4 linked regions of the Alligator mississippiensis genome follow. The protein of the gene in region 2 purifies or fractionates together with the protein of the main gene of each other region. This does not show direct contact. Links are inferred from orthologs where the notes say so. Each region holds a gene or a part of one and is shown on either strand. Other genes may lie near its edges. The genes, in order: ZC3H18, CAMKV, GPC1 and NOLC1.

Evidence for each region.
Region 1: the proteins of CAMKV (region 2) and ZC3H18 purify together in Homo sapiens (affinity purification with mass spectrometry; 3 studies listed by BioGRID and IntAct, counting the BioPlex papers as one, with this or other methods). This does not show direct contact. The link is inferred for Alligator mississippiensis from reciprocal best matches to the Homo sapiens genes CAMKV and ZC3H18.
Region 3: the proteins of CAMKV (region 2) and GPC1 purify together in Homo sapiens (affinity purification with mass spectrometry; 3 studies listed by BioGRID and IntAct, counting the BioPlex papers as one, with this or other methods). This does not show direct contact. The link is inferred for Alligator mississippiensis from reciprocal best matches to the Homo sapiens genes CAMKV and GPC1.
Region 4: the proteins of CAMKV (region 2) and NOLC1 purify together in Homo sapiens (affinity purification with mass spectrometry; 3 studies listed by BioGRID and IntAct, counting the BioPlex papers as one, with this or other methods). This does not show direct contact. The link is inferred for Alligator mississippiensis from reciprocal best matches to the Homo sapiens genes CAMKV and NOLC1.

The regions. Positions count from the first base shown.
Region 1 is NC_081833.1:75,182,909-75,190,212, forward strand, and holds the start of ZC3H18 (zinc finger CCCH domain-containing protein 18), read left to right. Parts: upstream 1-3,940; 5' UTR 3,941-4,046; intron 4,047-7,304.
Region 2 is NC_081835.1:42,071,957-42,079,741, reverse strand, and holds the start of CAMKV (caM kinase-like vesicle-associated protein), read left to right. Parts: upstream 1-4,644; 5' UTR 4,645-4,886; intron 4,887-7,785. UniProt on the Homo sapiens protein: Does not appear to have detectable kinase activity.
Region 3 is NC_081830.1:42,556,979-42,564,245, reverse strand, and holds the start of GPC1 (glypican-1), read left to right. Parts: upstream 1-4,211; 5' UTR 4,212-4,393; coding exon 4,394-4,550; intron 4,551-7,267. UniProt on the Homo sapiens protein: Cell surface proteoglycan that bears heparan sulfate. Binds, via the heparan sulfate side chains, alpha-4 (V) collagen and participates in Schwann cell myelination.
Region 4 is NC_081829.1:17,770,555-17,778,622, forward strand, and holds the start of NOLC1 (nucleolar and coiled-body phosphoprotein 1), read left to right. Parts: upstream 1-5,001; 5' UTR 5,002-5,035; coding exon 5,036-5,146; intron 5,147-5,242; coding exon 5,243-5,298; intron 5,299-8,068. UniProt on the Homo sapiens protein: Nucleolar protein that acts as a regulator of RNA polymerase I by connecting RNA polymerase I with enzymes responsible for ribosomal processing and modification.

The sequences.
Region 1 (7,304 bases), on a different chromosome or scaffold from region 2:
AGGCCTTGGCAGTGAGTTCGAGGGGCAGTAGCCGGTCATCAGAGCTGCCGGTGCTGAGCTGCCGCAGGGGGCTGGCGGGCGGGGGCTCTCGGCTTCCTCTGTCTCTATTCATCCCAGGCTTATTGCCATGGTGACAGCCCACCCCCCTCCATCCTGCCTGCCTCTCTTCCTCTCTGACACTTGCGGGGTCCGTCTGCTCCCCTCCCCTGCCATTCCCGCCACTGGCCTGGCCTGATCCTGCACAGTGCTGAGCACAGTGAGACCCCAGCATCAGACCTCATAGTGAAGGCATCTGCACAGGGGGCGGTGCCTGGGGGTGGGTGTGGGGTGATGCCTCCTGGACATGGAGTCACCCATGTCGTGGGCATCTACACGTGTGTGCGCCCTGGGTGGGGGGCCCTGTGCTGGCATGGAGCTGCATGCTGGAAATGCTTGTCATTGCACCCAGGCCAGCCCCTCTTGCTGATGTAGGATTACCCCCCTCCCAAGGCCACGGATGTAGCCAGCAGCAGGGTTGGGATGTAGCCAGCAGCTGAGGAGTTTGGAGGTGTCTGGTGATCCGAGTCCCTGGTGAGGGGAGAGCTCGTAGTCCATGTGCTGTGAGAGGCAAGAGCAATGCCATCTGCCTCACAGCAGGAACGTAGCGCTCTCTCCTCCCTTGGCTACCAGATGCCAGAGACCCCCCCAAGCCCACACTTCGGGGCTTGCGTGTGCCCCGCTCCTTAGGTGGAGGTTGAGGTGCTGCCTGGACCCAGGGGCACCCAGGCTGGCCGCGTCACCCCGCGCTAGCTCCCAGTGGGATGCAGGCATGGGGCACAGGGCTCGTCAGACAGATGCAGCTGGAAATCTTGCTGCCAAACCACATAGGTGGCCTCCGGGACGACCCAACTAGGACAAGCAAAAAGATGCACCCCCTTCAAAACCTCCTGCTCCAGCCTGTCTGGAACAAAGACTCTTGCTATTGCCTTGCCTTCCTTCCCGCCAACAGGGAAAGCTCTGATGGAGCCCAATGCAGCACTGCGGGGGGGTGGGTTTCCCTGGCCAGAGCTCGGGGTTTTATTCTGATCTGAAGTGACAGCCACTGTCAGCATCTCACAGCCGGTGTCACCCTCTCCCCAGCTGCACCACGGAGCAGGTCTGTGCATCCCCACAGCCCTGGATGCGTCGCGCAGGCTCTGGCAGCCGACGTCCAGCTGATCTCCCACGAAGGGGAATGGACACAGATTCCCAGAACAGTTCGACGGGCGCAGCTGGAGTCCGGGGAAGGGGGTCTCAGCACATGTCAGACAGCGCACCGGGAATGGAGCGGAGCATGGCCTGACAGCTGGCAGCATCAGGTGCTTTGTCTATCTGCAGCTGCCTGGTTCCTTTGGTCCCTTGCACTGGATCTTAGAAACTCAGGGGAATATCCCCAGCCCTCCCCTCATTCGTCCCCTCCAGCTCCTTGCTCTCTCCTTGCTGCCCCTCTTTGCAAAGTCAGCCCCGCTCCCACCAGCGGCTGAAACACCCACCAAAGAAACTTCCCTGCAGAACTTACTGGGGAAGGCGCCGGACCCCAGAGCAGCCAGGGGACAGAAGCAGGTGGACACGGTGGAGCAGCTGGCATTCCCGAGCTGGTTTCACGCCATCCCTTCCCCACCAGGCAGCAGCCGGGCTCCCTGCCTCTCCCCGTCTGCTCTGCCTGGCTGCTGCGGCTGGCTGCAGATATAAGGGGACTCCTCATCAGCTGATACAGCTCCTCGCTCCTCGCTAACCTATGGGAGCAGAGACTTTGTGCCCACCACCGTGGGGGCTCCTGGGTGTCTCGAGCCCTGCACCCCTCTGTTCATCTCCAGCCATATAATATTAGACTCCTTTGCTTCTAGCTCCAGCCCCACACCTCAGCCCTGGGGCATCCCTGCCTGGCTTGTGGGCCCGCAGCTCAGCGGAGATCCCTGGCTTTGCTGTCCATGCCTTGCAGTCCTGAAAGGAGCAGCCCTGCCTCAAAGGCAGAACTGCCCCATGGGGCACTGGCTTTCTCAAGGCATCACAGCAAACCCCGCTGGAGCCGGGGACTAGTGGGGTCCCTGCCTCCGCAGGAAGACAGGGGTCTCCCCGCTCTCCTCTCCGGCTGCCTGCGAGGCCTTGCGGGCGCATTCATGGGTTTGTGGCTGGCTGCGGAGGAGAAGCCAAAGCAGGTTCTTCAGGCCCAGGTGGGTGGTAATTACAGGGAGCTGACCCAGGCGGCTGCTTCCAGGCCTGTGTTGCTCCCAGGTGGGGGAAGTGTCCTGGGCAAGAGTTTCCCTGCTGCATCTGCAGCTTGCCCAGCTGGGAGCCAATGCAGGTGGAGAGAGGGGAGGGCACAGTCTCCACAGCAGGGACCTGGTGGTGCCCTCCCTGCCAAACCACATCCATTGCCTCCCCACCTGGTCTCCTAAGGGATAGCGGTGGCATGGGCACAAGCCTCCCAGAGCTGCCCTGGCAGGGCTGTGCATGCTGCTGCTGAGGGTCTCCAGCCCCCGTGCTAGTTGGGGTAGCACAGCTCATTGAGCTGCTCCTGGCCTTTGCTAGGGGCTGCCACAGGACAGGGGCAGTCTGGGGCTCACAGTGCTGTGACAACCTTCCCGCTGCAGGTGCAAGAGCATTTGCAGACGTCGTAACCTGGGCTCAGGCATGGCCCAGCAGTGGGGAGCGGATCCCAGCTCTGGCACTGCTGTGCTGAGCCACACCGAGCCCATCATCAATGCACAATCTGCCTCTATCTTCTGTGAGGGTTTGGGGGTGTGGGCGCTGCTAATTAGCGTGTATTTGCATAATGCTAGGGACTGGGAACTGCTTGCTTATTAAGATTAGTGATGTGTTTTTCCCAAGGATGAAGCCAGCCAAACCAAAGCGCAGGGCAGGACAAGACAGCGGCATCTGGCAGCTCAGCCCGTGAACCCAGGTGAATGCTGGCCCCCGGGAACCGCAGGGGAGACCCATGAGCTGCCCCCATGACCGTCCCTGCTTAGGACCGCGCTGGATGGAGCCCCACAGTTGTGGAGATGGGGTGGATCCGCCAGCTGGGGAAGAGGGGAAAGTCCCAGAGGATGGTGCAGCCCCTTGGGTCGTGGCCAGGTGATTCCTGCAAGCCACGAGCAAAGCCCATCCCTGGCATACAGCCTGCACCCGGCCAGGGCAGGAGCGGGTCACCTAGGGCTAATGCCCGCGTGGTTGCAAGGAGCTGAGCCCACTGCAGACATAGGGCATGCCACCGAGCTCAGGCCTGAGATCCACATGACAGACACCCCTGCGCTGCTCTGGGAGGACTGTGATAGAGACGTGGCTAGCTAAGGGACTGACCTCGGGGTCCCTACCCCCCCAGCTGTAGGATTTCCGGTCATTCTGGGGGTGCTTTATAGTCTGGAGGGGGCTGATCCTGCCTCAGGCAGGGGGCTGGACTGGATGCGACCTTGGGGGTCCCCCCTGCTGTCGGATTTGTCACTCTGGGGGTGTCTGGGGTGCTGCGGAGGGGACTGATCCTGCCCCCTGGATATGGATATGACCCCCAGCCCCCCTGCTGTAATAGACAGTCTGGAGGGGGCTGATCCTGCCTCAAGCAGGGGGTTGTCGGGGGAGGGGTCCCCCCTAACCCCACTGCTGTCGGATTTCTGTCACTCTGGGGGTGCCTGGAGGGGGCTGATCCTGCCCCCTGCATATGGATGCGACCTCAAGAGCACCCCCCTTGTAAGATTTGTGCGGCTCATGGAGGGGGGGTGATCACCTGAGAGCCCCAGCACTGAGCCGTGTGGCCCATGGGACACCAGCCCACGTGCCCCGGGGGCGCGGCCCCTTTAAGGCCCGGCCGGGTAGGGGCGGGGGCTGCTCCTCCCTCCTCCCTCCTCCCCCTACCTCTCCCCCTCCCTCTCCCTCTCCCGCCTGCGCGGGCGCGTCGCGTTGCGTCGCGCGCTGATGATGTCACGCCATGGCCGCCCTGCGCCGCCGCCGCCGCGCGTAGAGGCCCCGTCGCGCGCCCAGAGCCGGAGCCGCCGCCCCCGGCCCCCCCGCCGCCCCCTCCCCCCGCACAGGTGAGGAGCGGCCCGGGACGGGGGAGGGGGCGGCAAGCGCGGAGGGGCCCGGGCCCAGCGCGAGGGGCGGGGCCTGGGGACGGGGCTGGGCCCTCATGGGGGGGCGGGCACCCCAGAATGGGGGATGGGGACCAGAGTGGGGGGAGGGGCTGCGGGGTTGGCATCCGTGCAGAGCGGGGGCTGGCGGCCTGGTCCCATTGGGGGGGTGCACCCGTGTGGGGGATGGGCTTGGGTGCACCGGAGTGGGGGAGGGGTGGGGCCCAGTGATGGGTGCACCACAGTGGGGGGGATGGTCCCATGGGGGGGGTACAGCAGAGTGGGGGGGTCCCATTGAGTATACTTTGGGATGGTCCCATGGGGGGTGCACTAGAGGGGGGGGTCCCATTGAGTATACTGGGGGGATGGTCCCATGGGGGGTGCACTAGAGGGGGGGGTCCCATTGAGTACACTGAGGGGATGGTCCCATGGGGGGGTGCACTGGGGGGATGGTCCCATGGGGGGTGCACTAGAGGGGGGGTCCCATTGAGTACACTGGGGGGATGGTCCCATGGGGGGGTACACCCATGTGGGGGGTGGGCTTGGGTGCCTCAGAGTGGGGGAGGGGCTGGGCCCAATGGCGGCAGGGGCCTGCTGGGCATAGCAGCGTGGGGGAGGGGCTGGGGGCCGGTGGCCAGACACCAGGAGAAGGGGGTGAGGGGCTGGCTCCCACAGAGGTTGTGGGGCGGGGGGTGGGCGCAGGGGAGCCGCGTCCAGACGTGCTCGTGAGTTTTGTGGAGGAGCGTGGGAAGAAGGTCCCCATGTCCAGCTCCCAGGGGTGCCGCCATCACCCGGAGCGGCGCGTCCCAGCCCCACGTCGCCCTGTGCCAGCCGGGCCGTCTCCTGCTCCCCGAGGCTCCCTGCAGGAGCTGCCATCGCAGCCTCTGCCCCGAGCAGGATCCGCGCGCTTTGCCCTTAGTGCTGTGCTGCCGAATTACCCGCCATCATTGTTCCAGGGAGGATTTTCCTGCCGTGGTTCCAGTGCGTTAGGATCAGTAACCCCCCAAATATTCCCCATGAATCAACAGCAGAGCCGAAGAGAGCTGAACTCTCGCTCCCGAGCACCTCCAGGTTTGTTTGGACCCGGGACAGAGATCAAAATCTTTTCCTGATCTAAACAAATCCTTGGCTGACTTGAATGCTTAACTCTGCTGCCTAATTATTCATGCATGTGTGCTGAATGCCTTAAAAATGTGTTTATTCCCAGTAGCAGACTGGTATCCCATAGGGAACAGCTAGTGGAAGAGATTGACTTGCCCCAGCAGCGGTAAGTTGTGACGTTTGAACTCCAGCACTGGAGCTGTTCAGTCTCTAATCCACCAGAGAAGGCAGGGAACTGTGTCCCCTCGTTGGGCTGGAGTTAGGGTTTCGGAAAGTGCGACTTGGGGGATGTGGGAAGCTGGCTTTGGAAGTGGCTATCACAAGGGAGTGCTGTAGGACTAGTGCTGAAGAGAGCTTCGTGCAGCCTTTGAGAGGCTTTCTTGATGCCTCCCCACTAGTTTGACAAATCCAAGTCGCCCCTCACCCGCACACACGTACATCTTCTAAACCGTACTTTCTCTAAGGGAGCAGGGCAGGTATGTATTTGATTTTATTGACTTTGTCAGCTACCTGACAGGTTTTCAGGGATGTGTTTGGTAGCTGTGTTGGTCTGAGACAAAAAGAAATGCAAAAATCTAGAACTCTTGGTTCAGAGAGATGATGCCTTTTATCAGACCAACTAAGAAATCGCAAAAAAAAAAAATTGGTCTTGTTCTGCAAGCTTTTGGGCTCACATGCCGTTCATCAGGGAAAATTAAAGATGGTAAAATGTCCCCTAGGTAGGAAATAAAACTTCATTTTTGCACAGTGGGAAGCTGGAGATGGAGGTCTGTCCTTCTGGGTCCATGAGTGTTGCAGGTTTTCAGGCCTTTAACTATACCCCTCAGCTTTTGTTCTGCCTACCTTCTTGGCTTTCATCTGAATCTTTTCTTCCTCTTCTTAGATCCCACTGTCTCTTTTTTTTCTGAGCCATATTTAGCGTCTCTTTTTCTGTTCTGTTCCTTTATATTTTTTCTTTCCCTAGCTCCTCACCTCTGTTTGTCTCCTGTCTTCCTGTCCATCTCCCCAAGTCACTCATCATCCTGCTCTTTGTCTAACCTATCCCATTAGTGTTTCTCTTTTGATGTTTTTCCCTACATCTGCCCACTGGCCCTCACCCACCCATATACATAGGTTGGCCAAAAGGAATTGCCAGGTACTAGATATCCCATGGACTACCAGAAACAGACTCACATAAAAGATAATGACAGGGCAAAGATCAGATTAGAGAAGTCAGCTTTTCTCTGCTGTTTGCAAAGGAAAAGGTGCTGCAGTTCACTGTACAGCTGCAACTGGATGCTGCTCAGGAGCTCTGCTGTGGACTGTTTTTGTGTTGGCCTCTGGCTACTACGTGTCTGATGTATGTGAAACCCTTTCATCACCTCCAGCTCTCTTTGACAGCTGAAAGGGAGAGGGAATGCTTTCAGGAAGAAAGCCTCCTGCTGGCTGCTGAGCCAGTCTGTAAGAGTCTCTCGCGATGTCGTATCTGCTCTGACTAGAGGTCTTTTCCAATCTGTTCCTCACTCTGTTCCTGAAGTCCTGTTATGAGGTTTTCTTCGCAGGGCTGCTACTGTTGCTCTCACCTTTCTGCAACTATCCATCTTGCCGATGACTCATGGAACTTCAAAGTATTTTCTGTTCCAGCTCTGGCCAACTTTTCACTTTCTGCTCTTTAGGAAAGCACTGAGCAGTCACTGAAGTACTAGAGCCACCTGAAGGAGACTCTTACTTCATTGGTTTTTGCTCTGATCAGGGTTTTGAGATTCTCTTTGCTAGTATACTGGCTGAACCATTTTTTTTTTTTTAATGACAGGAGGTTCTGCAGCAATTGTTGGAACTTGATAGAGCTTTTCCAGTAGTCCTGTCTTTCTCAAACCCTTGCTTAAGTAGCAGCATCTAAAGGACAAAGCCACTTTCAGCGTGGTTACAGAAAGTATTCTTGAGGTTTGATGACAACGAGTTAACCTGTGTTCATAATGTTGGAGTGATGTTATAGCCCTGATGGTCCAGGAAGTATGCCAAAGGCAAAAAGTTTTTGTGAGTGATGCCTTTTATTGGACAAACTGCGTGGTTAGGATAGAGCTGGAGAAGCTCTCAATTGCAAGGCATTTCTTCATCACCTCCTTAACGTACTTTCACCTC
Region 2 (7,785 bases):
AGCTATATCATTTCTGGCATGCATACAGGTTGTCTACCCCTTTACCAATTAGCATACATTCACACACATCTATCTATCTATCTATCTATCTATCTATCTATCTATCTATTAGAATATTTATAGACAAAGCCTGTGGTTGAAATTTTCAAAGTTGGCAAGGGAAATTAGGTCTGCATATTCATTGCATGCAGCGCACACATGTGTGCACACACACACACACGTGCTCTCTCTCTCTAATGGGCTCAATTTTCCTCCCTTTGTAATTTAACAGTAATGTAAGTCAATTCAATTTACAGTTTACTTCTAATTTAAGCAAGGGGAGAAAGAGGTCCTTTGTGTTTCCTCTGTTCATATCTAGAAAGCAGTGGGTAGAAAAAAATTAAATATATTGTATTATTTAAGGACTATGACATGGTTGGGCATGTAAAGATGGTCACAACAAATATTTGACTGTCATCTTAGCTGTAGTTTTTCCCCAAGCAGTGAGTGATGTTCTGACATAATTACAGGGGGCGGTTGCATTTGATTTCTTCTTAATAGCGTCAGAAGAAGATGCTTGAGTTTCTGGCATGGCTAGCATTCAGAAAATTGCCAGGAGCCAGTCAATTGCATTATTATATGGAGTTATTTGGCTGCCTGCCATCAGATACTGCCAATCTTCATCAGAGGCTAGCAAAACCCAGATGACTTGACCAGAAGTCTTGGGAGTTGGGAGTTCAAGGGAAAACGTACCACCCCTACATGTTTTAGTAAGTAGATCTGCAAATGCATTCAGCCCTGATCTATCCCCATTGACTCCAGCCAAAGCAGAGTCAGATCAGCACTGCTGCAATCTATCTTGAATTTAGCAAAGCTTTTCATATGGTCTCCCACAGCATTCTTGCAAGCAAGTTAAGGAAGTATGAGTTGAACAAATGGACTGTAAGGTGGATAGAAAGCTGGCTGGATCATCAGGCTCAATGGATAGTGATCTACAGCTTGATGTCAAGTGGAGTGCCCCATGGGGTTGGTCCTGGGCTAGTTGTGTTCAATATCTTCACAAACAATCTGGAAGATGCAATAGAATGCACCCTCAGCAAGTTCATGGATGACACTAAGCTAAGGGGAGTAATAGATATGCTGGAGGGTAGGGCAAGGATTCAGAGTAACCTAGACACATTGGATGATTGGACCAAAAGGAATCTCATGAGGCTTAACAAGGACAAGTGAAGTCCTACATTTAGGACCAGTAAAGGTTTTGGACCAACTGGCTAATCACCAGCTCTGCAGAAAAGGACCTGGGAGTTACAGTGGACAATAAACTGAATATGAGCAAACAGTGTGCCTTGTTGCCAAGAAAATTAACAGCATACTGGGCTGCATTAGTACAAATGTTGTCAGCAGATGAAGAGAAGTAATTATTCCCTCCTATTATTCACTGGTGAGACCACACCTGGAGTACTGTGTCCAGTTTTGGGCCCCCCACTAAAGAAAGGACGTGGACAAATTGGAGAAAGCTCAGCAGAGGGCAAAGAAAATGGTTAGAGGGCTGGGGCACATAACTTATGAGGAGAGGCTCATTGAACTAGGGTTATTTAGTTTGCAAACAGAAGACTGAGGAGGGATTTGATAGCATCCTTTAAGTTGGAAGGTTGTTACGAAGAGGATAGAGCCACTGTTCTCAGTGGTGGAAGATGACAGAACAAGGAGCAATGACCTCAAGTTGCAGCAAAGGAAGTTTAGGTTGGATATTAGAAAAAACTCTCTCACTAAGGGGGTGGTGAAGCACTGGAACAGGTTACCTGAAGAGGTGGTGGAATCTCCATCCTTGGAGGTTTAAGGCCTGGCTGGACAAAGCCCTGCCTGGGATGTTCTAGTTGGGATGGTCTTGCTTTAAGCAGGGGATTGAACTAGATGACCATCTGAGGTCCCTTCCAACCCTAATTTTCTATGAGTCTATGAATCTGTAAGATCAGAGCATACAGCTTCATCCTTATTTCCTTTTGCTAATTGGGAAATGAGAGCATTGCTAATGGCTTAAACCTTCCCATCCCACATACATTGACCCCCCCGCCCCCCCCATAATCACTTATATACTCAGGGCTAGGACCTACTCCACCTCTTAAACATCTAACCATGATCTTATACCACCCTACTTGTGTACCTGGAAAAATGTTAACATACCTATTTTTGTAACATGCCATCACCTCAGCCTTAAGACGAAAGCACAGAAAGCAGCAAGCAGAAGGACGATTCACCACCTTTGGTGTTAATTGTTTTTTCAGGGACTCAAGCAGGGTGAAATACAATCACAGTTAGGCAGCCAATAGTTGGATTAGGATCTGGCCTTCACAGAATAACACAAAGTGACACTAGCTTGGAGGGCAATAGTGAGTTAGTAATGATTAATAAAAAAAAAAGACAATAGCCCAGAAGGTTATTACTAATAGCATACTATAGTTTTCTTTCCCACATGTTGGAACATTTTTTAGGGGTATAGGTTTTTTATACACTCCTTTCCCACCCCCTGCCCTGCACCCCTAAGTACTGAGACACAGAAAGAGGAAGTGTCTTCTTTCTCTGAAGCAGCTTTCCACGGGCCACAGCTAAGGCCAGGGGTTTTGACTGGGCTGTGCTGATCCTCCTGTTGGCATTTAGAAAAATTGAGAGGTCCTGACTAGGTAACCTGGCATTTCTACTCGTGGTCAGAACCACCACTAAATATGAGGTCAGGAAGAAAATTTTCACCAATTGGCAAGCACTGTGGGCAGGACACCAGGAATACCCTTGTCTCCCCAGCATTTACCTATGGTATGTTGTAGGTGTTTCTGGGTTTGTACCTTGTAGTTATGTGTGAGGGTTTGAAGAGGCACTTTAAAGGATTTATTTGGGAAATAGTTGCCTTCAAATGCAGAGAACTCAACTCAGTAGCCCAGGAGACCCATCTGAGTCTTATGTTCCTGCGGGGGGAGGGGAGTGGCAGAGCCAAGAATCTCCTGGATCCCTGACCACTGCCCCCACCCTTATCTCCATTCTGTCACTTTGTTTTGCTCACCCTTGTATTCATTCCTAGCCCCCTGCAGCTTTCTCTTCAAAAAATAGCATCAAGATGATCAATGAGCTCTGAGGCCCAGCAGACTCACTCTTCATGGTGGATGGGAAGAAGGAAAACTTGACATGACTGAAGGCAAAAGAAACTTCTTGCCTGTTCTCGCTTCTCACTTGTCCCTTTCCTACTGTTTGAATTGCACTCTTGGGCAGAGGGAGCAGTAATTTCCATCCCTCCCAATCTTCTGGTTTTCAGGCTTCTGCAAGTAGAAAGCTAGAGCCCAGAAGGATTTCCTCTGAAGGGAAGATGTCAAGCTAGCTACATCTCATTTTTAAAAATCTCCCAGTCTCTTCTGATGACAACTGCTGGTGGGGAAGAACATTTCCTCTGCAGGGCTGGGTTTGGTTTTGTAGGGTTTTTTTTGGGTTCTCTGGGTTTATGTTGTCTGAGAAGTTAGGACTGGTAATATAGGCTCTGCTAAATAAAACAGGCCCTTTCCCAAAAAGACTAGGTGTTTGAATATAGGAGCCAGAATAATGGGTCACAGTAGTTGGGTAGCTTCTCTGGGCAGACTGAGGGTGAGCAGACAGCCAGTTGTCACTGGATCCACATCTGTGGGTTGACAGGTAGTAAAAGCTTTGTCTTCGATGCCCCACAGAACCCTACCCCCTGGGTGCCATTGTGTGTGCCCACTAGCCCACACTATTTCATATCTCATGATAAAAATGTGAGCTGGTTTGCTGCCCAGAAACTGCCATATGGAGCTAGATCCCTCCTCCCCACCCCATAAGTAATATATTGCTTTAAAGAGACCTTGCTGTGGGTATTTAATGTGCTGCAGAGAAGAAAGTCTGTTATTCAGGGAAGCTTATTCCTTTGATAGGCATCCGTTTTGGTGAACTCCAGCAGGTCAGGAGTAGTTTTTTCTCACTTAAGGTACCAGGGACAAGGCAGCTGTGATCCAGATTGGAATTTCTGCCCTGCTAAAGTACATCTAGAAAAGAGTCTTAATACAATTCATTGCAGACCTTAGTATCAGGATAGGAAGGTCCGAGGCACGACTGAGCAGTCAGAGTTTGGAACTGCCAAATTGTAATCCCAGCTCTGACCCAGAGGCCTTCACCGCCTCTTCCCTCCTGGACCAGCCCCGCCTAGCCCCGAGGGACCTCGTGGGAGATCACTCGGACCCCTGAGGTACAAGAAACGGCAGCTACCAGGGGCCAGGGTACCCCTGCCCTCCACGGACCTCCCCCGTGCCTAGTGCCAGGACTGTAGCTCGTGGCACACGTGACACCGGCGGGCTGCCACACGAGTCACGACGAGGAGTGTCACTTGTGCGGGTCCCACGGCTCGCTTCGCCCCAGGCACCTCCACACAGCACACGGCCGTCCCCGGAGGGCGGCAGCTGCCCCGCGGGGAGGGCGCTGGGCATGTCAAGCCGACTTGGGCCCTTCCTCCTGCCGGAGGCGGCCCGGCTCAGCTCACCTCAGCACAGCACCCCCAGGGGCCGCGCGGGGCCGGGGCTGAGCCCGGGGGCGGGGGGCGGGGCCCAAAGTTTGCAGGGACGTCAGCGGCGGTCCCGCCCAGGGGCGGTGCTCACGGCTCGGTCCCGGGAACTTTCCCCGCCGGAGCCGGAGCGCGAGTGCGAGAGCGGTGCTGGAGGCGCGAGGCAGCGCGCGCGCTCTCGGCTCCGCCTGCCCCCGCTAGCCGCTGCCCAGCCCGGCCAGGCCCGGCCCAGCGGGTGGGCGCAGGAGCCCGTCGCCCCGGAAAGAAGGGGACGGGCCGCAGGCGCCAGCAGCAGCAGAAGGGGGAGCCCTCCCGTCCGCGCACCCCTCCCGCGGCCGGAGCTCGCTCGCAGGTGAGCCGGGGCGGCGGGGCGCGTCCGCTCGCTGCAGTGGAGCGGGGCCGGGCTCGGCGGGCATCCGCGCGGGCTCCTCCGCCCTGCTGCGGCTCTGGCTCCGGCTCCGGCTCCGGCTCCCCGGGCGCGCGGCGCCGCCGCCCGCTCTGCCCCGCACGCGGAGTCCGGCAGGTGCTGCCGCCGCCGCTGCCTCGTGGGGGAAGCGGCTCCGGGCGGCGCGGTCGTGGGAGCGTGCGCGATGCGGGTCCCGCGCCGGGAAAGTTGCGCGGCAGGAGGCGCGGGCACCTCGCCAGGCCCCGCCGCCGTCACCCCCCGCCGCGCCGCGCCGCGCCGCGCCGCCCCCGGGCCACCGGGGCTGGCAGCGGCTCGAGGCGAGCGGCCCGCAGCGCCCGGGCGGCCCGGGCCGGTGCAGCAGGTGCCCGGCGGCAGGGCGGGCGGCGGCACGTGGGGCAGCGCCAGGAGGGGGCAGCCCCCCCCCGCGGGACTGCGGGCCCCCTGCGCGGCGCCCCCCCGCGAGCCGCGGCGCCGATTGCCATGACAACGGGGCTGTCGCAAAGGCCGGGCCGGGCCGGGCCGTGGGGGCGCGCTGCCCGCGGGGGGGGGCAAGGCCCTGCGGCCTCGGGCGCTGGGGGGCGGGGGCTGGGCTGGGCAGCGCGTGTGGAGCCGCTGCCTCCCCCGGCACGTGCCTGGCTGCGGCGCACGTGGGCGTGTTTGGCCGGACCTCCCCTCCCCTCCCCTCCCCTCCCCTCCCGCCCATAAGCCGCTGCTCCCTCCACCCCCGCGCGCGGCCCCTTCCCGGGGGCAGCTCGACCCCTAAGCGCCGGCCCGGCCCAGACCTCGCGGCGGGGCGGGGAGCTTGGCTTCCCCCCTCCCCGGCGGGAGCCCTCGATGCCCCAGCCGCTCCCTCCTGGCGGGAAGCCGGCTCCCGGCCCGCCGCCCGCGCGCGTCCTCCCCGCAGCTCCCCTGTGCCTTCCCGCCCGCGCTCCCTGTGCCCATCTCCCGCCGTCCTGGGCTCGGTCCTGTCCTTTAGAAGGCTGCCCTGACTCGAAGCCAAGTTGTCCCAGAAAAGACCCCGTCCCCCTCTGCTTTTTTGAGCCCCAGCGTTAGCACAGGGGATCCGGTATTGGGGCAGAGCCCGCTTCTCTTCATGCTGGTCCTCTTGCTGCCTGGCAGAGGGAGGGCGGTTGAGCAGAGCGCTGAGGTCTGCGATGGGGTGTCGGGAGTCTTCCCCTGAGACGGGAGCTGCAGCAGGGAAAGAAACGGGTTGTGAGGAAAACCTCTTGGATGAATTCTGGCCCCTGGTGCTGCAGCTGGGCCCAGGGCCATGGCCTGTACCCCCCTCTTGTGCCGCGTGCCTTGGACTGAGGAGACAGCCTAGGCAGGCTGGGCCCTGGCGGGTCTGTACTGGGTCACTTCAGAGCTGCTGGTGCCTACTGCTAAACCCACGGCCATGGTAGCATGTGTCTGGACTTCGCTTTCTGCCTTCTGGGAGGGAAGGTAGCGGTTGGGAGAGGGGCATGTCAATTCGCTTGTCTCCCTCAAGCATTGTGATCATTCAGAAGCATGAGCGGACCGTGAGGAGGGATCAGTGTTAGGGCTGAGGTTGTCCTTGTGAGAAACCCCCCTTCCCAGGAGCTCCTGGAGCACACCTGTGGGTGATGCCTTGCTCTCTTGAGTTGCAGGGTGTGTGGATCACAGATATTGGAGGCTTCAAAAGCCTCTCTGACCATCTCCCTGGAGCCAGGGCAGACCTCTTGCTTGTCACTGGCCTTGTCCCAGCTCAGGACAGCTGCAAGGCTGCAGACTGTAGGACCCAGGTAGCCTGGGTTTGAAGTGTAAGAGCAGGAGGCAGACTCCCCCACCTTGCCTCAGGAGCAGAAATGCTGTCAGATGAGATCAGCTGGTTGAGCCATGTAGTCTGTATACTGCAGCCAATGGCTGATCCTGCAGAAGAAAGCATCTCTTGCTTCCTTATAAACAACTTATGATGCATGTAGCTGTCTGTGCAGTGTTGTCTATTATATGTATGGACCAATGGCAGGATCAATTGATGCCTTGAAGCACAAGATCTTTCTTATAATAGGAAATGCTAGGCGTGATCCTAAAATGTATTCAGCCCTTTCATTCCATCTAATGCGTCTGACTCATGGATATGCTGTGGCAACAAGTTCCACAAGCTACTTATAATCTACATAGACTCTCTCTGATCTCTTGCCACAGAAGTGCTCTGTAATGACAGCAAGTGGCACCCCCTTCTGTTCTCTTGCTGTGGAGTACTTCTGTTCTACCATAGGGTAGCATGGAACAGATTTGCTTTCTCTTGGCTCTTTGGGCTTACAGTCAAGCACCTGCAAATGCAGTGATACCAGTGACTTACCCCCTGTGCTGTGCTCCTTTCCTGTGGCCAGGCAGCTGGACATCCTGACACATTGCTATTAGCCTCTCCTTTGAGCAGTGAATATATACAGGATGGTAAGCTCCTGCTGGTTTTGAAGTGAGAACAATGTCCTGATTGATAGAACAGTATTTTTCTCCCCTATCAATTCTTTTAATACAGCCCAGCATCCAATTTTCCCCCTTTCTACTGCTGTGATTGATGTTGAGACTATTAGAGCCTATATAGAATTTTTCTCTATGATCTGCAGACATCTCTCTTGGTCTGTTCTCTTTCGATTTTGCAAGTCAAGCAGGGCTGGTCCTGGTTGATACTGGCATGGGAGATCTGTGACAAAGGCAGGTGTTGAAAAGAGTGGCAAAGACGGTTGTTCCACACTTGAGCTCTCCCCCCCTGTTCTGTCAGTGCCCTTCAAGTCCTAGATGCCCCCCCACCTCCCCACACATGCTTCTTGTGATGCCCCTCAGCACTGATGCAGAGCATGCTATTCCAGTCGGTTGCAAC
Region 3 (7,267 bases), on a different chromosome or scaffold from region 2:
CCACAGACAGTCCCAGGAGGGTCCAAGCTCTGAGAAAATGCCCTTCCCCCCCATCTTGCCAATCAGCTGATAGGTAGGAGGGGGACATTCTCCTAGTGCTTTGAGCCCTCCTGCTTCTCCTCTGCAAGAGAACAGCCCTGCTCCTTGCACTCCTTGGGCGCGTCCACACATGTAGTCACGTGCGCTCAAATAAAAGCAATGCAAATTTGAGCCAGGGCTTTTTGCCTCAGCACATGTACCGACATGCACTTGGGTGTGGTGAAAGTTGTGCCACGTGGGGCAATATAACCCTGCCTGGTTCCTCCCAGATCTGTGGCCAGGGGAAGCTAGAGCCTGGGGCCAACACTTGTGCTGGCCCCAGCAGTGTAAAAAGCTGCCCTGTCCTGGCCCCAGCAGTACAAAAAGCTGCCCTGGCAAGTAGCTCAGGAGTATGCTCTCTCAGGAACTTCTGGGGCCTGACCAATTTGTAGCTGGGGACACTACCCCTTGTGCCAGCTGGATTGCTAAAGCAGCCCTGAGAGTTCCCTGTGCCCTCTACCCACTGCAGCAGTCTGGCAGTGGGGGCTGCTGCCTGGCTGTGACCTGCTGCGCAACTGCCAGACCTGGATGGGGACTGCACAGCCAGTAGAGGCATCTGCCCCTCTGGGCCAGCTGCCAGTAGGCTGTGGCTGCAGAGTTGGCCTTTGTGTAGCATTACTGCCATGTGTGCCCCTGCCTGGCCATCTGGGCAGCTATCACACAGATGTTCCCAGTGTGGTGGCCTTTGAACTGTCAAAGCATGTCCTCCTGGCCCCAAATGGCCAGGAGGTGCACCACTTCCAGCTGGGTCTAAGGTGCCAGCTCAGAGCAGGCTCCTCTGCCTGGGTCCTGCCACTTGCCTCCCCAGCAGAAATTCTAGTGTTCCCTATTTGAAAACTGAAGAACCCCTGCTTAAAAAATCCCTAAGTCACTCTGTACAATACCCTGAAATCCATGTTCTTCCACAATTAAAACAAAAGACCACTATATAGAGAGAGAGCAGGAGGCAGAGAGACAAAGAAACAGTGATCAGTTGGGCAATGTTTTATTGATATATCTACAACGTCAAAGCAATTTGGAAGCCTACCAGTATCTCTATCATCATAATAAAATGAATTCTAAATACCTATGTTTTGCTGTTTGCCTTTGATTTTCTTACCATCAGTTTAAGAGAATCAGATAATGTTTTCAGAGGATCTGGGTGCCAGGAATATGTAACTTCTTTTTTCTTTTTCTTTTTCCTTTTCAGCTCTTTTTTGTTCTTATCTTGTGCCAGCTTATTTGGCCCTTCTGTATCACACCTGCCTCTGCTCAATGCTTGAATCAGCTTTTCAGGAGGCAGCACTTGCTGTCTGTAGCTGACAAGAGGTGATCTCCGTGGCAGAATGGATTTTCTGTCTTTTTCTTCTTGTTGGCTCTTTTCTGTGTTCTTTTTTTCCCCCGTCTTTCTTATGTATACTCACCTTACATTTCACTCTAGTCTTTCTTTTCTCTCCTGGCTCTTTCTCTGTGAGGTCCCCCTCCCTTTTCCCGCCATCCTTTCCCTGTAAAGAAATAGCTCTTTCAGTGACTGCGGATTTCTGGAATGTGTGGAGGAAGAGCTTTCCCCCTTTTTCATACTGACTCTGCTCCACCCTTTTAATTCAAAATGCTGAATGAATGAGTGTTCAGAAAGTGGATCTGAGCCTCAGAACTACAATGGGGAGAATCCAGATTGCCAGTATACTTTATAGCATAAAGTACATTTTTATCATGATGTGTTTCTTTATTTCAATTTGGGGAAGTATGCTTATACCAAGTTCTGATGCATATATACGCTTTATCAGTACAAACAGTACAGTCACGTTATTATTTATTTAAGATTTGTTTTCTGTGTTGTACAGCATGCAGACACAGATAGCTGCTTCCACAAAACTTATAATCAACTTGTAGTACTTCTGAATTTTCTGTCTGCTTATGTGGCCTTTGACATAGTTTCTGAGCACCTTACAGCCATGAATGAACATGTTCTCATAGCAGTAGGGCAAGATGAGAGTGCTGTTGCCCATTTAACAAAGAAGTAAATGAGGGACAGAGCATAAGGGACTTGGCAAACGTTACACAGGAAGCCTTTGGCAGAGCTGATAATAAACCAGTTCTTCCTCATACTGGTCTGGTATCATATGGTATCTGGTATCATATCTAGCCATCAAAGCATGAAGACTGGCTTGTGATATTCTGATCTTTCATGCAGGAAATTGCAGAGGTGAATCTGAATAAGTAGAGCACATACTTTTTAGGATTCTGTTAAGTGATACGATTTTGGCCCCTACTATAGACAGTGTTGTCATAGCACAATAGTTTTTAGAAATAAGAAGTACTTGAATATGACATACTTCCTCCCGTGCAGACCTGTGATCCATCACTCAACTACAAGCCTAGAGAATATGGATTTTAATCTAGCCTTTTAACTAATGCCGGTTAATCCTGCTGTGCACTTCACAACATTTACTATTAAGCAAGACTTCATGCTTCTACCTTATGCTTTAACCATCATTCAGAGAAAGCTTTGACCGTTCAGGCAGAGGTGGGAATAGACCTCAGGTAAGTACTACAATGCAGCCCAGTCCTAGCCATGTGCCACAGTTTTTAAAAGCATACCAAATTTGATCCTTCTGTAGTCCACAGTATTGTTTTGTACCATCCTGCAGTAAGTAGCTAGCCCACATATGGAGGCTTACATTTTTGGTTCTATTTCTGTATTCAGTGACTTGATTCTTTAGCTCAAGTGGCAGAGATTAATGCTTTTGCATCCAAAAGTCTGGAGTTCAGTCCCTTAACTAACCCAAATGGGAATGTTCATACTTTAGTTATCTCTTACCACTAAATCCTGGCTGCAATTCCTGCAAGGGCCAACACGTCTCTCAAATGCTTATAATCTGCTGTTTTGTTTCTTTGTGGTTTGGTGTGGTCACCAGAAAGAATATGGGCAGCTTTCTGGGGTTTTGTACCCCGTTAGTCTAACAGCTGCAGATTGTGCTGTAGATCTGAAGCCATCAGATTCAAAAGATAAAAGGAAAAAATATTTATATGAAATCTTGTGTAAGGACCCTTAACCAATTGTACTTAATTTATGTTCAGCAACATCATATTTGGATGTGAATCTATGTGCTAACATGTGTTGTTCCCACCTTTTTAGTGGGAACCGGAGCTTTTAAGAACAGGGTGCGGCAGCGTGTGCACCGCTGTCTGGAAGATGTCCTGTGTCTGCAGAGGACAAGCCCTGCTTCTGTATGAACTCCAGAAAGGTCAGAAATTACATTTAATCCTCAAAGATGGAACATGCAAGCCTTGGCTCCCAGCATCCTGCTGGATTTCCAGGTTTTAGTGAAGTTAGACAAAGAGCAGAAATATGTTGGACCAGGTCCTTTATGTTGGATGTTGACACCTTAAATGTGTTTTCCAGTCAAATTGGAGAAGACAGTTACACTCCTCAAGGCCCTGCCTAGAGCACAGGCAGATTTAGCATTTAACCCCTGACTACCATGCCCTCCCTACAGAATTGGCAAGCCTCTCCTGCCGCCTTTCTCCATCTGTCCGGTGAGGAGTCTGCTCTGAAGCCTGCGGGGCCAGATCTCCCCCGCTTTTGCATCCTCCTTCTCGCTGCGGGGCTCCAAGAGCTGCCAGGTCGGGGTGTCAATCCGGGCAGCTGGAGTAAGAAGTGGCTCCTCGTGCCCACGCGCCTGCCAGGGCCGCCTGCCGCCCGCACGAGCCTTGCCGGAAGGCAGCTGTCCTGGGAGCCTGCACCCTGGCTCCCTCGGCCTGCGCCAGGAGCTGCACCTCACCGGGCGGGGTCGGGTCGGGCTGAGGAAAGCGCCCGGCCGCCGGCGCGCCCGGAACAATAGCGGGGCCGGGGCTCCGGCCGCCGGGGGCTGAAGCCCGGCAGCAGCCGAGCGGGCGGGCGGGCGGGGGAGGAGCCGGGCCGGGGCCGGATTGGCAGCAGGCGGCGTGATGCCACGTCCGGCGGGGGAAGCCCTGCCTCGCGGCGAGCCGTGCAGGTGGCGCCGGGTGAGCCCCGCCGGCACACAGCGGCGGCCCCGCGGGATGCGCGCCCCGCCCCCGCGCTAGCGCCCGCCCCGCCCCGCCCCGCCCCGCGGCATCGGCTCCGGCCGCGCTGCCCCCGCCCCGCCCCGCCCCGCCCCGCCAGCCGGGCCCCGGGGCGGCGGGAGCAGGGATGCGCGGGGGAGGTGGAGCTGAGCGCCGCGTCGTGTGAGCGCGCCCAGCCCAGCCCAGCCCAGCCCAGCCCCAGCCGGGGGCAGCGGCGGCGGCAGCGGCGGCGGGACCTTGGGCTCGTCCTTCGCGCGGCGGGGCCGGGAGCGGGGCGCAGCGGCCGAGGATGCATCTCTTCCCGTGGGGATTGTGGCTGCTGTGCGTCGCGTCCTCCTCGGCTCGGGGCGACAGCGGCGGCAAAGCCAAGAGCTGCGCCGAGCTCCGGCAGCTCTATGGGAGCAAAGGGTTCAGCCTGAGCGGGGTCCCCCAGGCGGAGATCTCCGGTGAGTAGCGCCGAGCCGCGGCTTTGTCCTGGCTGGAGGAGACCCCCCCCCCCCAAACCCACAGGGTCTCGAGCAACCCCTCCCTCCCTCCCTCCCTCCCCTGACTCGGAGGCAGCGGTCCGCAGCCCCTGGGCCGGGGACCCGTCTGGGTGAGAGCCGCCTTATCCGCATCCACCGCTGCCCTGAAGTTGGGATCTGCTGGACGGGAACTTGGGCTGGTTTTCAGGTGCGGAGGAGAGAGGAAGGATGGAGGGTTAGGGACCACTCCTCCCCTCCCCCCCTCCTTAATTAAAAGTCCTACCTTCCATCTCTCCCCCGAGCTGGACCCCCAAAGTCACCTCGGCCATTGTCATGGTCCCGGGTAGCGGGTGTTTCTCTGGTGCCAACCGGGGTGTGTGACGGTTCACAGATATCAGGTGGCTGACTAGTGGGGGGGGGGATATAGCAGACCCTCTTTGTCTTGCTCCTCCAGTGGCAGCGATGTGGGGGATTCAGCTCAGACGGTCAGGATCAAGCAGGTTTCATGTCAACGCTAGAAAACGCCACAGGGTTATAAAGAGAACAGTACTGATTTTTCCTGTCCTCTTTTTGGATTGGAAACAAATGCATGAGCAGCACTTGTCAGCTGTGTAAAATGAAGCCGAAGTGAAATGACTCTTTGTCAGGTGTTCGAAAGGCAGCGGTAACCTCAGCCACCCACATCAGCATGTATTCCTGTTACCTGACTACTATCTATACAGAGGGCCAACACGATTTGATTTGATTTTTTTTTTTTTAAACAAATGCACAGTGTTTTTTGTTTCCCTTTCAGAAGGGATCTGAAATAGAAAAAGAGAGACTATAGAAAGGTCTCATGTAGGGTTTTACAAAGCCTGGGAAAAATCTGCTGAGATTTCACGCATGCCTCTTCTTTATTTCTTAAAAGTTTTTTTTTCTACGTTCTGATTCATCAGCTTGTGACCCATATCTAGGAGCTTTTTTGCTCACTTGTGGGAGCTTCCCAGTTTAGACAAAGCGTAAGGCATGCAGGCGTACGTGCCAAAGCCAACCTACGGGGACATCCCAGCAAAATTGTAGTTTGTAGTTCATTTCTGAGTGGTGGAATTTCTTATGCTGAATACTTTATAGCGTAGTTTTACAGCAAATGTCTTCATTATCTGCCCTGAAAATGGAGGAGGTTGATCTTCAGCTCAAGTAAATGGCATATAAATGTGAACAAATGATTATTTTCTTTATTAAGTAGGAACCAAAGGGAGATTTTCAAGTACAATAGGAAGGTCCTGTGGAGAATTTAAAAATCCTTTAAATGGGAGCTCCTTAAAAATGAATTCAGTTAAGCAAAAACATCACTTCTTTGTTCTTGATTATTCCGTGTATCTGTAAGCAATGGCTTAAACATGTCAAACAACTGTGAAGTTTTTTCAAGGGAGTTGAACACTTAAATATTGTCATGTGGAGGTGGATAAGGTGCCAAATGGAATGATAGTACCGTAGGATTCAATATCAGTTGTATTTTGTGATTGTGAGAAATGCATTGCATCAGATACAAATATCACATATCTCTGGGTCCAAGACATATAAAACTTATTGTGTCTAGAAAATGCTGAGTTTAGTAAAGATATAATGGAGGAGAGAGATGTTTAGGAGCTACATTTATTATCTCTTAAACGCTAGCACGCTTGCAGGCTCAAACAACAGTAGCTGAAATAATGTAGTGTCAAACTGCTTGTCTGTGACTATATGTTATGATTAATAGTGATGGTGATAAATATGGTCTTCTAATCAGATATATATTCTTATGAGAATTTATTTAATGAACTGTAGATAGGACCAGGGAAAAGAATCTATCCACACAAATATGCTGCTGCCAATACTCCCAGCTTTTGTACTGAAACATCAAAACGATGAACACAGTCATACATGCCTGAAACTGATAAGTATTTCGAAATTTCCATCTGTGTAGCTTTAATATCCATCCAGTTGAGATAAAACATCAATGTATTTTGCTACAAATATGCTTATGTATGGGAAATGTTATTTGACACATGGTAATATACTGTATTTGCTTCTGATTTGTTGACTATCACTGTGTATAAGATGTTTGGTCTATATTTAATAAAAATATGGTAGTAGTTGAGAAGAAACCACTTCATAGCATCCCCAAATGTACTGAGTATAATACCATTCTACACTTGTGAACAGCTCAGTTTGTTAAGCAACCCAATTTTGTTGGCACTTTGAATGGTCACTTAACACCACTTGTTCTGTATTTAGTTCATCTTGGTGACCAAGAGGGCCATAATCCATATGGCAGAACCTGCGTCAGATTAAGATTCCAGTCACGTCTAGAAATGTCTACACATCAACAAACAGCAGGAGCAGCATTAGTTAAGTAAAAAGAAAAATGCTGATTAAGATAGTTCAGTAACAAGCAGCCTAGTTCTACTTTGACCTGTGAGGTGATTTGAGGAAGCCGTTTCCTAGTGCTACCCATGCACATTGTTAGAAGGAGTGGAGAGCACCGGTTTTCCAGCCTTCCTTGTTCACTTTGTTTTCCCACTTCAGTTATCCTTTATTTCTTCCTTCCTATCCCACTTTCTCTCCCATTTTCCTCCCTCAGCAAAGTGAGAACTCACTTTATTAGCATCGTTCCCTGCCTCCAAGAATTTGATTACCAGCAGAGTACATTGCTGCTGCTGCTCTTAGGACCGACTCCA
Region 4 (8,068 bases), on a different chromosome or scaffold from region 2:
TCCTGATTCGATTTAGCCGAGTCTCCGAATCAACCAGGCCAGGCCCATCCTACACCTGCTCTCCCAGCCCAGCAATGGCCACCCCGCCTGCCCCAGCTCTAGGCATTTGGGGAAAAAAAAGCCCTGGCTCAGCAGGTGCTGCCAGGTGGGAGGCAATCCCCGCTGCCCCATGCTGCATGGGGGGCTCTGCATGAGCCCCCACAACCCCTCCATCACTCTCCCAGCCCCCTCATGGGTGCCCCGCATGGGCCAGCTCCAGCCCTTTAAGAAAAAAAAGCCTGAAGAAACCTGGGATTCGCTGCTGCTGTGGACAGGGGGCAATCCCTGATGCTCTGAGCCAGGTGAGGGCGCTGCAGGAGCCCCCAAAGCCCTGAGGCTGCACCAGGAGCCTGAGCCCAGGGGCTTTTCTCCACTTTTTTTTTCTTAAAGGGCCAGAGTCCTGGCAGGCAGGGCAGCTGGGGGAGTGGGCGGGGGCTGGGGGGCTGACTTAGATCCCCCCCATGGTCCCTTCCCCCCTCCCCCTCCTCTAGTACTTACCAGCTCAGAGTGGCTCACCTGGGAATGCATGAATCATCGAAGCTCTCCAAATCTTTGCTGAAGATTTGAAGAGCTTTGAAATGATTCGGACCTTTAAATTGGTCCCCTGATTCAATTTGGATTCGGAGATTCAGCCACCAAATTGGACTGAATCTTCTCCGAATCGAATCACCATCCGAAGCTTCACACAGCCCTAAAAATTATAGTGATGGGCTGGGATGTGACTATCAGGGGATAAGGAGTTCCCAGAGCTCCAGAGAGGCACGTCAGTGACCTGTGCCAGGGGCAGGGTCCAAGCCACAGTAGTGCCCATGGGGCATATGAGTGTTTGAGCCCTTGCTAGAGGCTGAGTTCAAACCCCAGGCAGGCAGCAGCTAAGAGGTCTAAAGCCTGGTGAAAGAGGTGGCCTGAAGCTGGAAGGGCTAAAGGGTAGAGCCCAAGAGGGTGAAACCAAGTCCAGGGGCCCACAGCCTGAGATGGGGGAGCTAGAGACAGACTGAAGCTGGGAAGGCCAAGGCCAGAGACGCAAGACGGGTGAGACTAGGGCCAGGGGCCCCAAGCCCAAGAGGTCAAAACATAGTCCGAGAGGGTGAGTCAAGAGCTGGAGCCCAGAAGCCAGGTCCAGCACGATGGGCCTAGGCAGAGGAGCTAATGAAAGGAAAGGGGTAGCAGCCAGGAGGGTTGAAGCCCCAGCAAGAGTGGAGAGGTCTGAAAAAGACCAGACCTGACACTGATTGACTGATAACCTCCACGAGGCATGGGCATGGCTACAGAGGAGGACAAAGACCACAAAATTAGCCCTTAAGGCAACAGGTGCCCTGGAGGGAGCATGGGTGGATCAGAAGGGCCCACCTAGTGCCTGAGGGGCAGATTTGGGGACCAGGGGGGTCCAGGAGGGACCAACTGGCCAAGAAGGATGGATGAGGGTTCACTTGGAGACCCCAGGGTTCACTTGGAGACCCCAGGGAAGCCTCCATTTCACAAACCAACTCATTACATCAAGGTGTGGCAGGTGAGGGAAAAGGAAAGGGGCCCAGGGAGCCAGAGTGGGTGCAGGAGCTGCGCTGCCATCAGGGGATATCACAGCCACCCCTGGGGGCTCTATCCTGCTACAAGCACACAGAAGAATCAGCTAGTACAATCCCTATCTCCTCGAGAGAAGCTTTTATAAGCCAACAGTATCAACACAAGATCTTTCACAAGCACTCAGACGTTGTGGACTCTAACAATGAGTCCTTGTCCATTGACTGACAAAAGGGTGTTCAGGAAGGATGGCTTTAATGGGATCAGATCTAGTTTTGAGATATGTGGCTGCTTCTGGATGTAGAAGCTTTTGGAGATGGCAAAGTGAGGAAGACAGCCACACAGTGAGCTCAGCATATTTTGGATTTTCCCTGCTACTGGAGTGCAGGGTACACTGCTGCTGGGAGAGAAATCAGTATAACCATACCAAGCCCCCACTGCAGGATGTCTTATGTCTACCAAAGCAATCTCCTCCCCACATCAGCCCATTTAGAGTTATTTCTGCAGAACCCAATTCTTTGTGTTACAGTAATACATGCTGGACTGTGTTTCTTGTCAATAAGCGTATAAATACCAAATCCCTGTAGAATTTTATTTTTCCTGAAGATCCGTACACCATAGATATGTTTAAAATTTAAATTTAAAATTACAAAAGCAAGTGCTTCTTTGTTCAGTGCCAGGCTTGCTTTCTCTCTTTCTCTCTCTCTTTTAAATTTAAATCAAATCTTACATTTGCAAAAGAAGTAGAGGAGTTGGTGATACAGATTCAACAGTGTTGAGAGCTCCTCAAGAGAGAGCAGCACTCCTAAAATCTCAGATAATAGCACTGTAATAATGTCAAAGTCTAATAATGGCCTTATGGCCTGAAGTGCATCCCATTTCCTACCCATAATGTCCAACAACACAAGACTCTGAACCAAGATTGCAAGAGGACAGCCTGCCTCAATCCTATTGGAAACAGTGAGAGATCCTCTCATTAAACATAAGCTACTCATCTTCACTTATGAATCCCTTTGCAAACTATCCCTACCCTACCTATCCTCTCTCATTCTGCATCAAGAGGTCTATTTCCTCTGATCAACTCATGATGTTAGCTGCCATCAACCACTTGTTAGATTTTCAACCCAAGCCTTTCATCCTGCTCTCCATGCCTGGGACAGGCTCCCCATAATCATCTGCAGAATGACCATATTATTCAGTCTCAAGACCCTCATCAGGATTCTCCTTTGCCCTGATTTCAAGGAAACTGTACGGATAATGAGTAGGCTGCCAAAACTGTTGCCTCCCATGGTGCCTGGTATTCTCATTTTATTCCCTTGCGTTCCTCCATCTGTCTGTCTTCATCTGTCACTGCCTTATGCTTCACTCACAAGCTCTCTGTGTACAGGTGGTCTTCCTGCTCTGGAGGTACAGCACCGAGCACCCCTGGATGCTGACTGGTGACTGGGGCTGCTGGGTGCTACAGTAACAGGCCTCATTTCAGTGCCTGCAGAGGCCCCCAGCCAGGCCCCACCAAGCTCCCCTGCAAAGCCTCCTCTCAGCTCAACAAGGTCCTTTTCCCCAGCTGAGGACTCCCGGGTGGCCCACCACAGCCCCGGGGCAGCCGCAGGAGCTTAAGGGGGGCATGTATGGACAGGGCTCTGGCCTGGATCTTTGCCACTTGTTGGCTTTGCCTCATGCTCCCGCCTTTGCCTTTGGGGAGGTGCCTGCATCCGAGTCTGATGGCAGCACCTAGAGCAGGGGTGCAAGCTGCGCAGGATGCAGCTCCACTGGAAAGGCCATGGGCGCCTTGCTTCTTGCCTCCAGCCATTCTTTGATGGCAGGGCCCCACTGGACCCCAGGCAGGGCAGGACAAGCCCTGTGGGGTCCCCATGCATTTCTCTTGTGAGTCCCTCGCGGATCTATCATGGTGTGACCCCTGAGGGGCTCTTCAGGGGTGGAGGAAGACTCACTGCTTTAGAAGCCCACCCCGGCAAGGCCAGGCCAGGCCCAAGGGTCTGGCAGCCCCAAGAAGGGCACCAGGGCTGGCACATCGGGTTTAAGGGTTTGAAGGAATGAAATGATCAAATTTGAAATTATCACATTTGCTGAAAAACGATTGTACACTGAAAACGTATGCAAATAAGTATGCAAATAATTATTTTTATTGACTTTATATTGCTTCTCACTTTAAGTCGCCAGTGAGTGAGTGAGAACAAGTTGACGCGTTTGTTTATTTCGAGGACAGCTGTCACAAGACAGTGCTGACAGCAACCTCGGCAGTCGGTTACGACTCTGCCCCGCCTGAGGCTGACCTGATGCAGGCAGGCAGAAACATGCGACCGTCTCTTCTGGGACTGCCCACACGCCAGGGAGGTGGGAAGAAAGTCTGTGCGCTCGTCCTGGTGGTGGGAGGTTTCAGAGACCTGACCAGGGAAGAGGTTCTTACGGGCACTTGACCATGGGCGACTTGTGCCCCGCTTGTGACCAGTCCCGCTGACTGGGGGGTACCCCCGCAGCCGGGGAAGATCCCCACAGCCGATCCCGGAATGGCCGATCGCTGCGACCTATAGCCGCAGCCGCTTCCGGGAGTGACTGCAGCGATCAGCCGGCGCTTGCAGGGGGGCACCGGCACTCCCACCTGCCCATCGCCTAAGCGGCAAGTGCTGCCGGTCGGGGGGTGCACCGGCGCTCTCAGGGGGTGCATGTGCTCCCCCGTGCACCGCCTATGCCACTGCACCTGCCCAGACAGCACGGGGCCCCGACCAGTTCTTTGCCTGCTTCAGGTGGGCACTGTGCAAAACCAGCTACCTGCTCACAGACTGACACTTGGACCCCACAGTTGAGGACTGTATTAAAAAAGGACAAAGTGAAATGTACTGGTACTACAGAAAGACACAAGAGGATGACAGGAAAGAAATGGCAGACCTCATCTGGTGGAGAGGGGCCTGGCATAGACATTTTCAGAATTAGCGCCTCTGGGTGGGGCAGTGGGCGCGGGGACGGGTATAGGGACGGGTGCGCGGTCACGCGGTGCGAACCGTGTAATGGGTTTTCAGTGTGCTGCGCTGCCAGTGAACTTGGCAGACTGTTGGAGGTGGAGTTATTTATTTATTTATTTATTTATATAGAAGTATTTTTGCAAAAAAAAAAAAAGTGGGTTAAAACTCTCCGAGTGACTTGGGTTCTGCACATCCTGCATCAATTCGCTGCCTCAAAAAATGACCCTACATGTTGAACACCGTGGCTATCATTGACCGTACATTGTGCCGGGGTTGTGCAAACACCATAACCATAGCGCCCCCGGACGGCTGGGCTGCCCGGCGCACGCGCAGTGCGGCCGCCCGACGCCAGGTGGCGCCAGCAGCTGCCGAGCAGCGCTGCCCGACCTCAAGATGGCGGCCGCGCTCCGCCCGCCCCTGCCGGCGGCCTGGCCCCCGACCCCTGACCTCCGACCCCTACCGCGGAGGCGGGCGGTACACGTGGTGGCGGCAGCATGGCGGGTCGGCGCGTGGTGCCCAGCGACCTGCTGCCCCTCGTGTTGGGCTTTCTGCGGCAGCACCGCTTCGACCGCGCCGCGCGCGCCTTCGCCCGGGAGGCCGGAGTGGTGCGGGCCGGGCTGGGCCGGGTCGGGGGGCGGTCGGGCCGGAGGGTCTGGGGGTCTGGGCCGGGCCCGCGCTGACGCCCGTGTGTGCTCTTGCAGGCGGACCAGGACCCCAACGCCGCCTCGCTGCTCGACGTCTTCGACCACTGGCTCAAGTGAGTGCCGGCGGGGCCAGGTGCGGCCGGGCTGGGGGCCGGGCCGCCGCCCTCCTTCCCCTCCCCACCCCCGGGTCGGTCCGTGGGGGGAGGGTCCCGCTCGCGGGCTTGGATGGGGGAGACGCCTTGCTCCAGCTGGGAAGTGAGTGCTTCCTCCAGCCAGCCATGCCTGGACAGCCAACACCAAGGGCCAGCGAGTGGTGCATGAGTTTGTGACTGGGAGTGCATGGACCAGACGAGTTCAGCTCAGATGCAGCTGCCGCTCCTGAGCGTAAAACACAAATGCTGTCGTGGGTTGGCGTAAGCCTTTCTGAAACACTAGGTTTCACCATAACCCTCTGTTTAAGTCAGGGGTGGCCAGCCTGCAGCATGTGTGCCACACGTGGCACAAGCAGTCTGCGCATGGCACGCGGCAGATCAAGGAGGGGGCTGCAGCCCCCGGCAGGGAGGGCAGAAAGCAGAGCAGCAGGTCATGCCGCCGGAGGGGGGTTGGAGTGGCACTCAGGGAGGGTACGGGGCTTAATTTGTGACGCATCTGCCAGAACGGTTGGCCCCGCTGATTTATGAATCCAGAACAGACAGTTAAGCGTGTTTCAGCCCCATGAAAAAGACAATGCAATAGAAAGGGGGTTGGGCTCAGGGCATCTGTATGTTCTTCAGAGGGTTACGTGTTTTGAGCTTGGGAATCCTCACTGCTTTCATGGAGAAACTCCTACTCTAGAGTCAAACTCTTTCTAGCGTTTCTGGTCAGAAAGTACCATACTTACTCAAATCTGAGATGAGGTCATTTTCCCCATTCAACAGAGGTGGGGGGTAAATTTGAGAACAAGATGGAGCAGTAGGTAGCTGCTGTGGCTCTAGCCCTGACCCAGAGTCAGAGCTTCCGTCTCTGCCCCATGCCAGTCTACCCCTTTGCGTCCCTCTTCCCCCTCTGGCTGCTGTTACTTACCTGGGGTCCTGGCTTTGGCCTAGAGCACAGAGCACATGCTATCTCCAGGCTCTACCTGGGATGGCAGCTGCTGCAAGTGTTGGCAGCTCTAGTGCTGACTCAGGGCTGGGGCAGGTCCATAGCTGCTGCTTCTGAGCCAAGCAGGGGCCAGAACTGGCATGTTCCCTGGGTCAGAGCAGGACTGGACTTGGACCCAGACCTGGAGCCACAACCTGGGGTAAGTGGTGGTGGCAGGGGGGAAGGCGAAGGCAAATGGTAGGAAGAGGCTGGGACTAGAGAGGGAGCTAAGTGCCAAGGGGGGCAGGCACCAGGGAGGCAGTAAGTGCTAGGGGGGCAGGTGCCAGGTGATGCAGGCACAGGGAGCATGAGGTGGGAGACAAGCTGCGTATCTCCTTGTCACTACTTGCCCCCCTGCTGCTGTTTTCCCTGTCACAGCAATGGTAGGGACACACTTAAGACAACCCACCCAAGAATTAGATTCTGCGCATGGAAAATTGTAAAAAGTTAATATATAGAATCTAATTATTAGGTATTTGTCTTACATTCTAAGTTGTCTTGTATTGAGATAAAAATGGCAGAGAGTCGAGCTGCACTCAGATCTCCAGTACCACAAGTGTCAGAGCAGGAGCAGAGAATACCCTGACACAGCCACTCCTTTATCTTGTGAGGAGTTTGGATCAGTTTTTTTTAAGTTCCCCCAGTTTCTGCTTCTGCTCTACCTAGCTCCCCAGTCATGCTGCTTCTGGGGTTGTTTTGCTTACTTTTCTTGGGTTTTTTTGTTTCTTTTTAAGCACAGGTGTGTGTTTGTAGATCCTAGGACAGTGGCTCCCAACCTCAGGTCATGACCCAAATCAGGGTCGCAGGAGGTCTGCCCTTCATTCCACCTCTTCTGCCTGCGGGGCTGTCCCGGTGCACAGTCCATGCGGCTCTCGCTGCCGCTGCCCCCCACAATCCTAGCCCAGCCCAGGCTTTACTGGCACCACCGGGCATGAGTGAGTTGGGGGCAGGGTTCACGATCTGGATTTGGGGTTGCTGCAAAAAAAGGTTGGGAGCCACTGCCCTAGGAGTCCCTTGAACAGGGTTGTTCTGTGTTGATTTTGTTCGGGTGGCAGTCTGACCCCTGATCTGAAGGACAGTGTTTTGCATTAGAGGTGCACCGATACATTGGTCCGATATCGGATCAGCACTGATGTAAAGAAAAGGCCCCTGTGGTGAGGGAGGGAGTAAGGAAGGAGCTAGGGTAGGTGCTGCCTGGCGGGGGGCGGGACAGAACCACAACTCGTCCAGGCATAGTGGGGCAGGGGCGTGGCTCCTGGTGATGCATGCACCCTGGGGGGGAGGGGTGGCATGTGCCCCTGGATCTGCGTGGGGTGCAGGTTAGGCTGCATCTGCAGGCTGCGGCTGGGGTTGTGCCAGGCTCTTCCTGGCAGAAGGGGGGGTGGCGGTGCTGGGAGGATGGGCTATGGGGGGGCTATGGTGAAATTTGGGCGGGGGCTGCAGCCCTCTCCCCATAGTCCCCCTCTCAGCACTGCCACCCACCCTGAGTGCGGCCCCAGCCTGCAGCTGCAGCCTGCCCCACACAGGTCTGGGGGGCACACGTGCACACACCCCACCCCAGGATGCGCGCAGCAGCAGGAGCTGCTCCATGCCCCACCCCCCTGGACAAACCATGGCTCCATCCTGCGCCTTGCCCCGGCTTGGCAACGCCTGCCCCAGCACTGCTTCTTCAGTGCAGGGGACTTGATCTCCCCCCACACTCCTTCCCTTCCCCCTCCCCTTCCACCACAACAGACTTACCACCTACATGCAGCTGTTTAAGAA